Oryza sativa Japonica Group: one gene and its partner. Each later gene encodes a partner of the first gene's protein in a complex. Links are inferred from orthologs where the notes say so. Each region holds a gene or a part of one and is shown in the gene's direction. Other genes may lie near its edges.

Region 1 (4,092 bases):
CTTCTCTTTTCGGGATAAAAATACTTTCGAAAAAAAACACGCTAATTATACGCATAATAAAAGGTCCCCAAGGACAAATCTTGTTATACAATACAATATTTGCAAGTTATTCAATATTGTGTTTTATTTTCTATCTTTTTTTTCCTTTCCTCATATGGTATGGCTGCTTTGGCGCACCATTTTCTGTCATAAAAGTCTGGTTACTGTAGTTGAAGACGACTACGACACCATAATCTCGAGAAAAAGACATCATGGCAGATCGTAATCGTATCATGCAAGCCTGAACATGAAAACAACAAACTTGAAGGTCGTCCATCTACCTGACCACATGTGTATGGGGATATGGGCTGGTATTTTGATCTAATCAAATTATTAAGCTCATGCACGTTGATGTGCCACAATTTTACCTTTTTTTTAAAGCATAGATTAAGATTTAAGAAAAAAAACTATAATACCCTTAACTAAATATTGTATGGTTGGATGTAGGAGGTTGGTTAGGGGCAAGAAAAAAGATAAATTTGAATTAGAAACGATTGATGGAACAAATAGTATTTTATTATGATAACCATTTTGAGACAAAGTTTAAATCTTAAAGAGACAAGTAATTTGTGACGGAGGGAGTAAGTTGTTTAATTTATACCGTTTCAGTTCTAATCATATCATTGTGTTGCTTATGTTCTTCTTCCAGGACGAGCAAACACCCGTTCTTCTTTTCTATAATCCTTCTCCAACACCAATCACAAAGAGATATCATCTATTTTAAATTTTTATGCAAACATTTGAGGGTATGCTCGAGCATAACGAAACCTAGCCATTAAATCTGTTTCTAAAATATAGTACTAGGATTTACCATCTCATTTTAAAATCGAAGTACACATTGTTTGATTTACGGCTCATAAGCCATGGAAAAAAGAACTAAGCATAAAAATAATAATGTTCACAGGTTTTTTTTAAGTCAACTTAAAATGAACCACGATGAAAAACCCCTAAAAATCAACTCTCAATTCTAATTTTCTTAAAAATTTTAAAATTTGGCCTCGGCAAATAAAAATAACAAACAGCGTATGAAATGAAAGACCGGAGAGATGACGAATTTGATGAAGGAGATTATAGTGGACATCCATAATTTCAGAAGATTATAGAGGCATTTTTGTTTCCGTGTCTCTGATAGCCGAATGAATCAGCCGTAATCTCATCCGTCATCCCACGATCCAACGGCTGGTAGCCCCCCCAAATCCGGCTACACAAACGAAACCCCACATTCCCCGACACGATTCAAACCACCACCAACGAACCTCTTATTCGCCGGCGACGACGATGTCCAAGGCCGCCGCCGCCGCGTCGCTCCCTCCGCCGCCGCCGGAGGTGGCGCACCTGGTGGATCAGCTCCAGCGCCACCACCTCGCCCCCGACGCCTCCCTCCTCTCCAGCTGCGCCCACTCCGACCTCCTCCAGGTACGCTATCTCACCTCCGCGAACTCGATGTCCTACCTCCGCGATCTCACCCGCTGCTGTCTCTGTGCTTTCCTTCGCCGCAGGCGCGGGAGGAGGTCGCGTCGGAGCGCGCGCGATACCTGGAGGCACTGGTGAGTGCGCCCGTCCCTTCTCGTGGGATCTGGGATTTTAGGGTTTCCCGTTGGGGTTCTGATCAGATCTGGGGGTAATGTGGTTAGGCTGTGTACGCGGAGGCCATTGCTATGGTGGAGGAGTATCAGCACGCCATCTCCACTGGCGTCGCCAACGCTGGGAAGAAGCTCAACTGCTCCCCGCAGGTTCCACTTCTCTCCCGCATTTTTAAATTTTTGCGTCTTTCAGTGAATGGTGGACATAAAGCTGCAAATGTGAATTCAACTGGTTGATTGCAGATGAAACTTTTGCTGCTAAATTGAGAAATTATCTGACTGAAAATGGAGCATTGTATGGACTGATGTAGGTGTACGAGTCATTGGAGCACCATTTGGCGGTTGCAGAGGCTGCGCAGAGGTTAAGGCTTCCACTGCTCTCGCAGGATGGAGATGTACATGAGGAGGAGATAGAGAAGCTGAGCACCTTGTCTAGGAGCTCATTCGATAGCACCATGACAAGTGCCGCACCTAGCTCGAGTTCAATCTCGACTAGTTACAATAACTACAGCAGCACCGCAAGTGCAGCCACTGTTGCTGCGGCCCCTGGTACTGGTGGTTCGGAGCCAGTTGAGCCTGGTGTTGGCGGTGTTCCTGATCGTTTTCTTGGAATCACATCGGATTATCTCTACCAGGTGCAGCAAGAGCAGCCAGCCATGACCGTGGTATGTATAATCTTTTGCAACCAAATTTATCGTGTGAACCAGTTGTTGGTGGGTTCAAGTTTCATTTTAGTTTTGGATATATTATCGTATGTTTCTTGGGGAATCAGACAATTACTGCTTCACTGCTTCCTATCTTTGTTTACCATTTACTGAAGAGCAATCAGGACATACATTGTTTCTTTTCAAAACCGGGCTGTTTAAACGTTTACAGCATGTACCTCTGATTTCCCGTTGCAGGACATGGTTGACTATCAACGAACTCTGGCAAGAGAGATTGAGGCCCGCTTAGAAGCCAAGTGTGATGCTTTAGCTGATCTGTTTGCAATGGATGAAAGGGGTCAGTTTTTGAATCTTGCTATGACTACCAATTTCACTCCCTGCGTTCCTGTCCATTTTATGCAATGCAACTTGGGCAACTTAGTTTTAGACAACAGTACACATCTTGTATTCAATATTATTGTTTTAGCTTAACATTTCAAATGTGCTGCAGATTCATCATCCATTAGTCAGATTTCAAGTGCCAGACTTCCAGAAAGGTGAAATTTCATATCTTTGCCTGTCTTGCAATGGTTTTACTTATACGGAAATGCTTGATATGCCAAAACTCTCTTAGGTCAAGCATAACATTTTGAGTGAAAAAAAATCTCCTTGTTTGCTTCTGTAATAATTTACTCTGATCACTCACAGTGCATTCTCAGTTCTTGATGGCAATGTCCAATTGTCAACCTTTACTTGTTTGGACTTAAAATATTAATAACAGGGAATTCATGAGACGCATTACTCACAATATGATTTTCCCTTTTGGCAGGGTGAAGTTAATTATTGAAGAGATTGAAAAGGAAGAGGCCCTTCTACTAGACGATCTTGCTTCGATGGATAGAAAATTTGCCGAACACTATAATGTACGTGTGTAGATATTAAGTGATTGCTCAAACTCCACATAGCCAGTTAGCTCACTTTATTCTAGTAGAAATTCTGGATTATATCCACTTACTGATGGCTCCTGAAATTTCAAAAGGTCCTGGAGCAAATTCTTGCTGTACTTATACAGTTCGTTAAAGACAAGAAATTGGAACATCAGCATCAATATGTAAGCTTTCTCATATTCCTATTATGATGCTGCTTCTTTGAAAACATGGAGTGTTTTCAGTTTCATATAGTTAATCCTCCTACTTTGTCTTTGTGGGCTAATAGGATGATCTGAAGAAGACTTGGCTTATTAAAAGGTGCCGGACAATGAATGCTAAATTAAGGTTGGTACCTGCATCTACGTCCATCATACATCACCTAATAACGGATCTTAATTTGTACTTTGTTAAACATAGTTAGTCTTCTAATTGAGTTATTTGCTAGTCAGCGATGGGACAAAACAGAGTTAATTAACTATTTCTTTCTTAACATGGTTCTAGCTATCTTGAGCATCATCTCTTGCGTGACACCTATACCAAGGAAACAGTACCGGCACTACATAGGATCAGGTAAAGCCAGTTTAATTGATTTAAAAAAAACTGACATGATATCTTGAGTTAAGTGGTACATCTTCTCAAAACAGATCCAATATGTTGAGTGCTTTTCTTTTCAGGAAAATGCATTTTTTACTTATTTACCGTTTCTTGCAGGAAATATCTAGTAGAGGCCACGAAAGAAGCATCCAATTCTTATACTGAAGCGGTATGATACACCCATCTTACTTTCCCCTTGTAATCTTCAAAATATTTGGTCATTAAATCCTTAATAGCAATGGTTATTACTCATTTACTGAATATCTAGTCCTTAACTCTGTAATGGAAATCTAGTAACTAGAG
Region 2 (4,336 bases), on another chromosome or scaffold:
GCGGGCGGCGGTGAAATCGGCCTCGACGGCAGGCGGCGGGAACACCGGCACCTCGCCCTTCATCACCTCCTCCTCCTCCTCTTCCTCCACCTCCTCGTCGGTGGATCTGGGCCGGCGTGGGACGAGAGGAGGAGCGGCGGCGGCGTCTCGGCGAGGAGGAGCGGCGGTGACGACGAAGTGAGGAGGAGCGGTGGCAATGGCGAAGTGAGGAGGATCAAGAGATAAATCCGTCGAGCGACGCCGATGGGAGAAAAAAAAGAACATATGCGAACCGTTTTTTCTGTAATGGCAGAGGTGGGTAATTTTTCCCTCAAAAGCAGGTGAAAGCAGGGGGTAGAGGTGATTTTGATTTGTACTACACCAAAAGCTGGCTTTGGGCAAAAGCAGCTGTGGCTTTTGGGCCGTTTGGTTGGCTTTTGCTAAGCAAAAGCAGGTTGAAAACCCAACCAAACACACCCTTAATTTCGTGAGTTCGAGCTCAGGAACGGATACGTGAGAAGAAATCCTAGTTATGTGCTTGCTCCGGTTGATCCATGGCAGTATCATGATGGAGAAAAAAAACCAGAAGAGGAGTGATGGAGAAGAAGGCCAGTCTAGTTTGAAACTTTTATAAAATCACCTAGTCAAAAGTGAAAAGATTTGTTCACCCCTAGTCCAAAATAAAACTTGGGTAAAAATTATAGCCCAAAGCGAAATTCACTCAAATATTTTTGTAAAGCTTAGGAAATAATAGGTGGCTCAATACACAATTTATCTTTCAACATCCCCCTCTACGTGATGCCTATTTTTTTTCCATAAAAGAATAGCCCGAAGGAGTACCAAGGTCAGTAAAAGAAGGATTAGTTAATGTTGGTTAATTTGGTGTTACCGAATAATACGTTTTCTCTGTTTTACTCACATTGACCAAAATTTAATGTTTGTTTCCTACTAGTGTGCTTCTACTAATCTTGCATTCGCATTCCAAAGAAGGCCTTAGTTTTAATTCGTCTAATTTTTAGAAAAAAAATCCAAAATCTGTAAAATTAAATATGAAGCTGTATCCATTTTATACTATCAATTTAGTATTTATTAATTTAATTTAGAAAATCAAAATGAAAACAGAAAATGTAGATGCCGTCTCTTTTTAATCTAAGCCGTTATAGTTCAACCCATTTAACATGTTTAAAAATTTATTACTACCTCTATATTTTAATTTTAATGTATGACGTCGTTGACTTTTTGTTAAACGTTTGATCATTTGTATTATTCAAAAAAGTTATGTAATTATCATTTATTTTATTGTGCCTTGATTCATCATCAAATGTTCTTTAAGCATGATATAAATATTTTTATATTTGCACAAAATTTTTGAATTAAACGAATAGTCAAACGTTGGTTAAAAGTCAATAACGTCGTATATTAAAATACGGAGGGAGTACTTGTTTACAGTTCTAAGAGAAAATAGCCTTGGCCAGGACCCAGGAGTAACTGTGCAATTTATATAAAAAAAAAAGGAAACAAGAATTTGAGCAGCGGCTGTGATTCAAAATTTGGGTTCAAATCGCGTGACCAAAACGCTCACCAGCCGGCGAAGCGAAAGCGAAAGCGAAACCCGCACCAAACGGCGACGCGCACGGCGGCGGCGCCCTCGAGCCCAACGCCGACGAGCCCCCATGGCGGGCGTGCAGAAGCCGGCCAAGCGGCTGGGGGGAATGGCGGAGGCGCTCTCCATAGCCGCCGACCTCGGCTTCCCCGCCCCTCCCGCGCAGGTGGATCCCGACTCCCGAATCCCCTTCCTCGCCTCGCTGATTCGCCTCTTCGCGCGAATCCTCGACCTGTTCTGGTTTCCGGTTTCCGATTGCGGTTTCGGTAGATCCAGATCTGCTCGGTTAGGTTTGCAGCGCGTTTCGTTGGAGGTGATTGTAGTAGGGTTTGGTTCCTTGCGATTGTGATGCAGTCGAGAAATGTAGGTTTTGAGTCTAGCATTGTTGGTAAGATTGAGCTCTGTCACTGCAGTTCCGAATGATTTGGGCGGGTTTAAGAATTTAATTCCGAGAATTTGGGTGGGATTGGTTAGCCTTACGATAATCACCTGCGGAATCTGCCCCAAACTTTGGTGAACATAAGCTACTTGATCTCATGAACCATTGCTTGCTTTGTCATAATTATGAAAAATTTCTATGCTGGCGTGTGTATATTTTCATTATGATTGTTTAATTTCCTAGAACTGGCAACTTGCAGGGATGATCATTAAAGGATTTCGTTCATTTCTAAAGAATATGTTTCTTGCAAGAAAAAAAAAATCATCTGACATGTATTACCATTCCTTGTGATGGCTTATTTATGGCAGGAGGATCAGGGCAGCTCAGACAAAAGCGATGATCTAGTGAGGGTTTTGAGGGAACTGACTGTTGTACAGAGGAACATTGCCAATTTGCAAGTGGAACTACAGGGCAGAAAGGTGATGAATTTGATATCCAGTGGCTAGCTTCTATACATTTATACTAGAACTCCACACATTGTCCACCTTGCTGATGCATCTATACAATATAAGTATTTGTTTTACCTTCTCAGATCTGGTACTACACGATATTACTCTAACATTCCATCGCCCGCCATCATGTATTCACTATTTCACTTAGCTTTGGTGTAATCAATATCCTTTTCATTTTCTTGCTGTGATGTGGTGTTGAAATCACAAAAAAAGAGAGCAAAATATCACTTTGAAATTTGAATGTTGGTACATATTTATGTGTACTGTAACTCTTGGTTCTTTAAAAGTTAATAAAGATGCCCAACCCTCTTGAGAGTTTAAAGTCTAAAGCTTTACTGGCTGATGCATGACAGCGTGAAACCTGAGAGTGATTATGCCCATGGAATCCATTCTAGACTCATAAACTTTCTGCACACCATTTCTGAATGCTGGTGTATCCATCTCTTTAAAAAGCTTCTGATCTGAATATATACTATGTGTTATTATGTTGACCATACTGATGAAGATTGGATCTCCACAGGATGATAAAAATATTGCTCATCTGACTCACGTTAGTGAGATGGAGAAGAAGTGTGAATCTTTGGCCAGAATCACCACTATTTTGAAAGATGTAATTCAAAACAAGGTAATTGAAGTCACAAATTGTTCTTTCACTTGTCTTTCTTGGGATTACCAGTTATTCAGATTGATTGTGTGAAGAACGTTCCGCCTGCATCTCTGCCCTATACGTTATCCGATTGTACAAACCTATGCATCTGAAATAATGATCCTTTTTCCATCAGGATCGCATTATTGCTCGACTGCAACAACCTTACTCCCTCGATTGCATTCCTGTTGAAGCTGAATACCAGGTTAGGTTTCTTATCATTTCAACCTGTGATTTTCATAACAAGCATGCCGGCCCGTACATGATTTTATTATTAAAAGAACCATGTGGTTTTCTGAGTGGATCATGTTTTTCCTACTCACCTGTTGGTGTCTTCTCAGAAACAATTTTCAGAGCTACTTCTGAAAGCAGCAAGTGACTATGGGGCATTGACAGCATCTGTAGGTGATTTCCAGTGGAGCCAAAACTTCAGAGAGTCACCTGCTGTATGGGGGGTAAGTTGAAAAATATATTTCTAAATACTACGTTAGTGTCCAATTGTTCACTATAAATTCATTTTCTATTAAACACCTTCCACTTTGGATGCAAGTATTTATGTTATCAGTGGCAGATTTAGATGACCAGTGATCTATGGATTTATTGAAGTACCCATATTAGTACTACAATTTGCTTTGTAGTGCATTACGACTGCTTGGTCCTATAAATGGCTCAGATTTGTAATTGTAAATCTGTTACTTGTTGTTATTGGAGATTGGTTTAATGGTTACTTTTATCTTGATGAAGGAAATGCTTCGACCGATACCTGCTGCGCTTGCTTCTTGCACGCGCTTCTTTGAGGCCATGTCTGCAATGAGGGAATCCTTCTCTACACTTCAGAAATTACGTGTAGGTCATTCTTCTCTGTCGATGACCCCGGGTGGATCCAGTGACGATTCAAAGTTCTTGACGCCGCCTCAGTGGAGAGAGGGCTCAATGCTCGATAGCTGGAAGCAAGTGGACGAGACAATCCCTGAGAGTGATGGACTCGATGCCATCAACCAGAGGAGGTTGTCATGGCCATCCTCCATCAAGAGGGAGCAGTAGGCCAAGGTTCACCCAACAGATACTCCATATGTTTGTGTGCTGTATAAATAGGATTCTGGGGTTTCTTTTCTTCTGTGTGGTTACTGTTCAGCCATTTGCAAAAGCTCCCGTTGGCAGGTGATACTGACAGGATAAATGATTACCCATGACACTGAATGATGTTAGTTCCTTGT

Evidence for each region.
Region 2: AUGMIN subunit 4 (region 1) and AUGMIN subunit 2 share a complex: the UniProt entries of both Arabidopsis thaliana proteins name them as parts of the augmin complex. The link is inferred for Oryza sativa Japonica Group from reciprocal best matches to the Arabidopsis thaliana genes AUG4 and AUG2.

Annotation. Positions count from the first base shown.
Region 1 is NC_089036.1:1,015,922-1,020,013, reverse strand, and holds the start of AUGMIN subunit 4, read left to right. Parts: upstream 1-1,272; 5' UTR 1,273-1,317; coding exon 1,318-1,455; intron 1,456-1,538; coding exon 1,539-1,586; intron 1,587-1,673; coding exon 1,674-1,772; intron 1,773-1,933; coding exon 1,934-2,287; intron 2,288-2,524; coding exon 2,525-2,624; intron 2,625-2,777; coding exon 2,778-2,823; intron 2,824-3,095; coding exon 3,096-3,189; intron 3,190-3,305; coding exon 3,306-3,377; intron 3,378-3,481; coding exon 3,482-3,540; intron 3,541-3,696; coding exon 3,697-3,765; intron 3,766-3,906; coding exon 3,907-3,958; intron 3,959-4,092. UniProt on the Arabidopsis thaliana protein: Involved in microtubules reorganization during spindle and phragmoplast development.
Region 2 is NC_089042.1:6,163,845-6,168,180, reverse strand, and holds the start of AUGMIN subunit 2, read left to right. Parts: upstream 1-1,510; 5' UTR 1,511-1,652; coding exon 1,653-1,748; intron 1,749-2,329; coding exon 2,330-2,440; intron 2,441-2,993; coding exon 2,994-3,098; intron 3,099-3,255; coding exon 3,256-3,324; intron 3,325-3,460; coding exon 3,461-3,574; intron 3,575-3,863; coding exon 3,864-4,163; 3' UTR 4,164-4,336. UniProt on the Arabidopsis thaliana protein: Contributes to the assembly of the acentrosomal spindle and phragmoplast microtubule arrays as part of the augmin complex.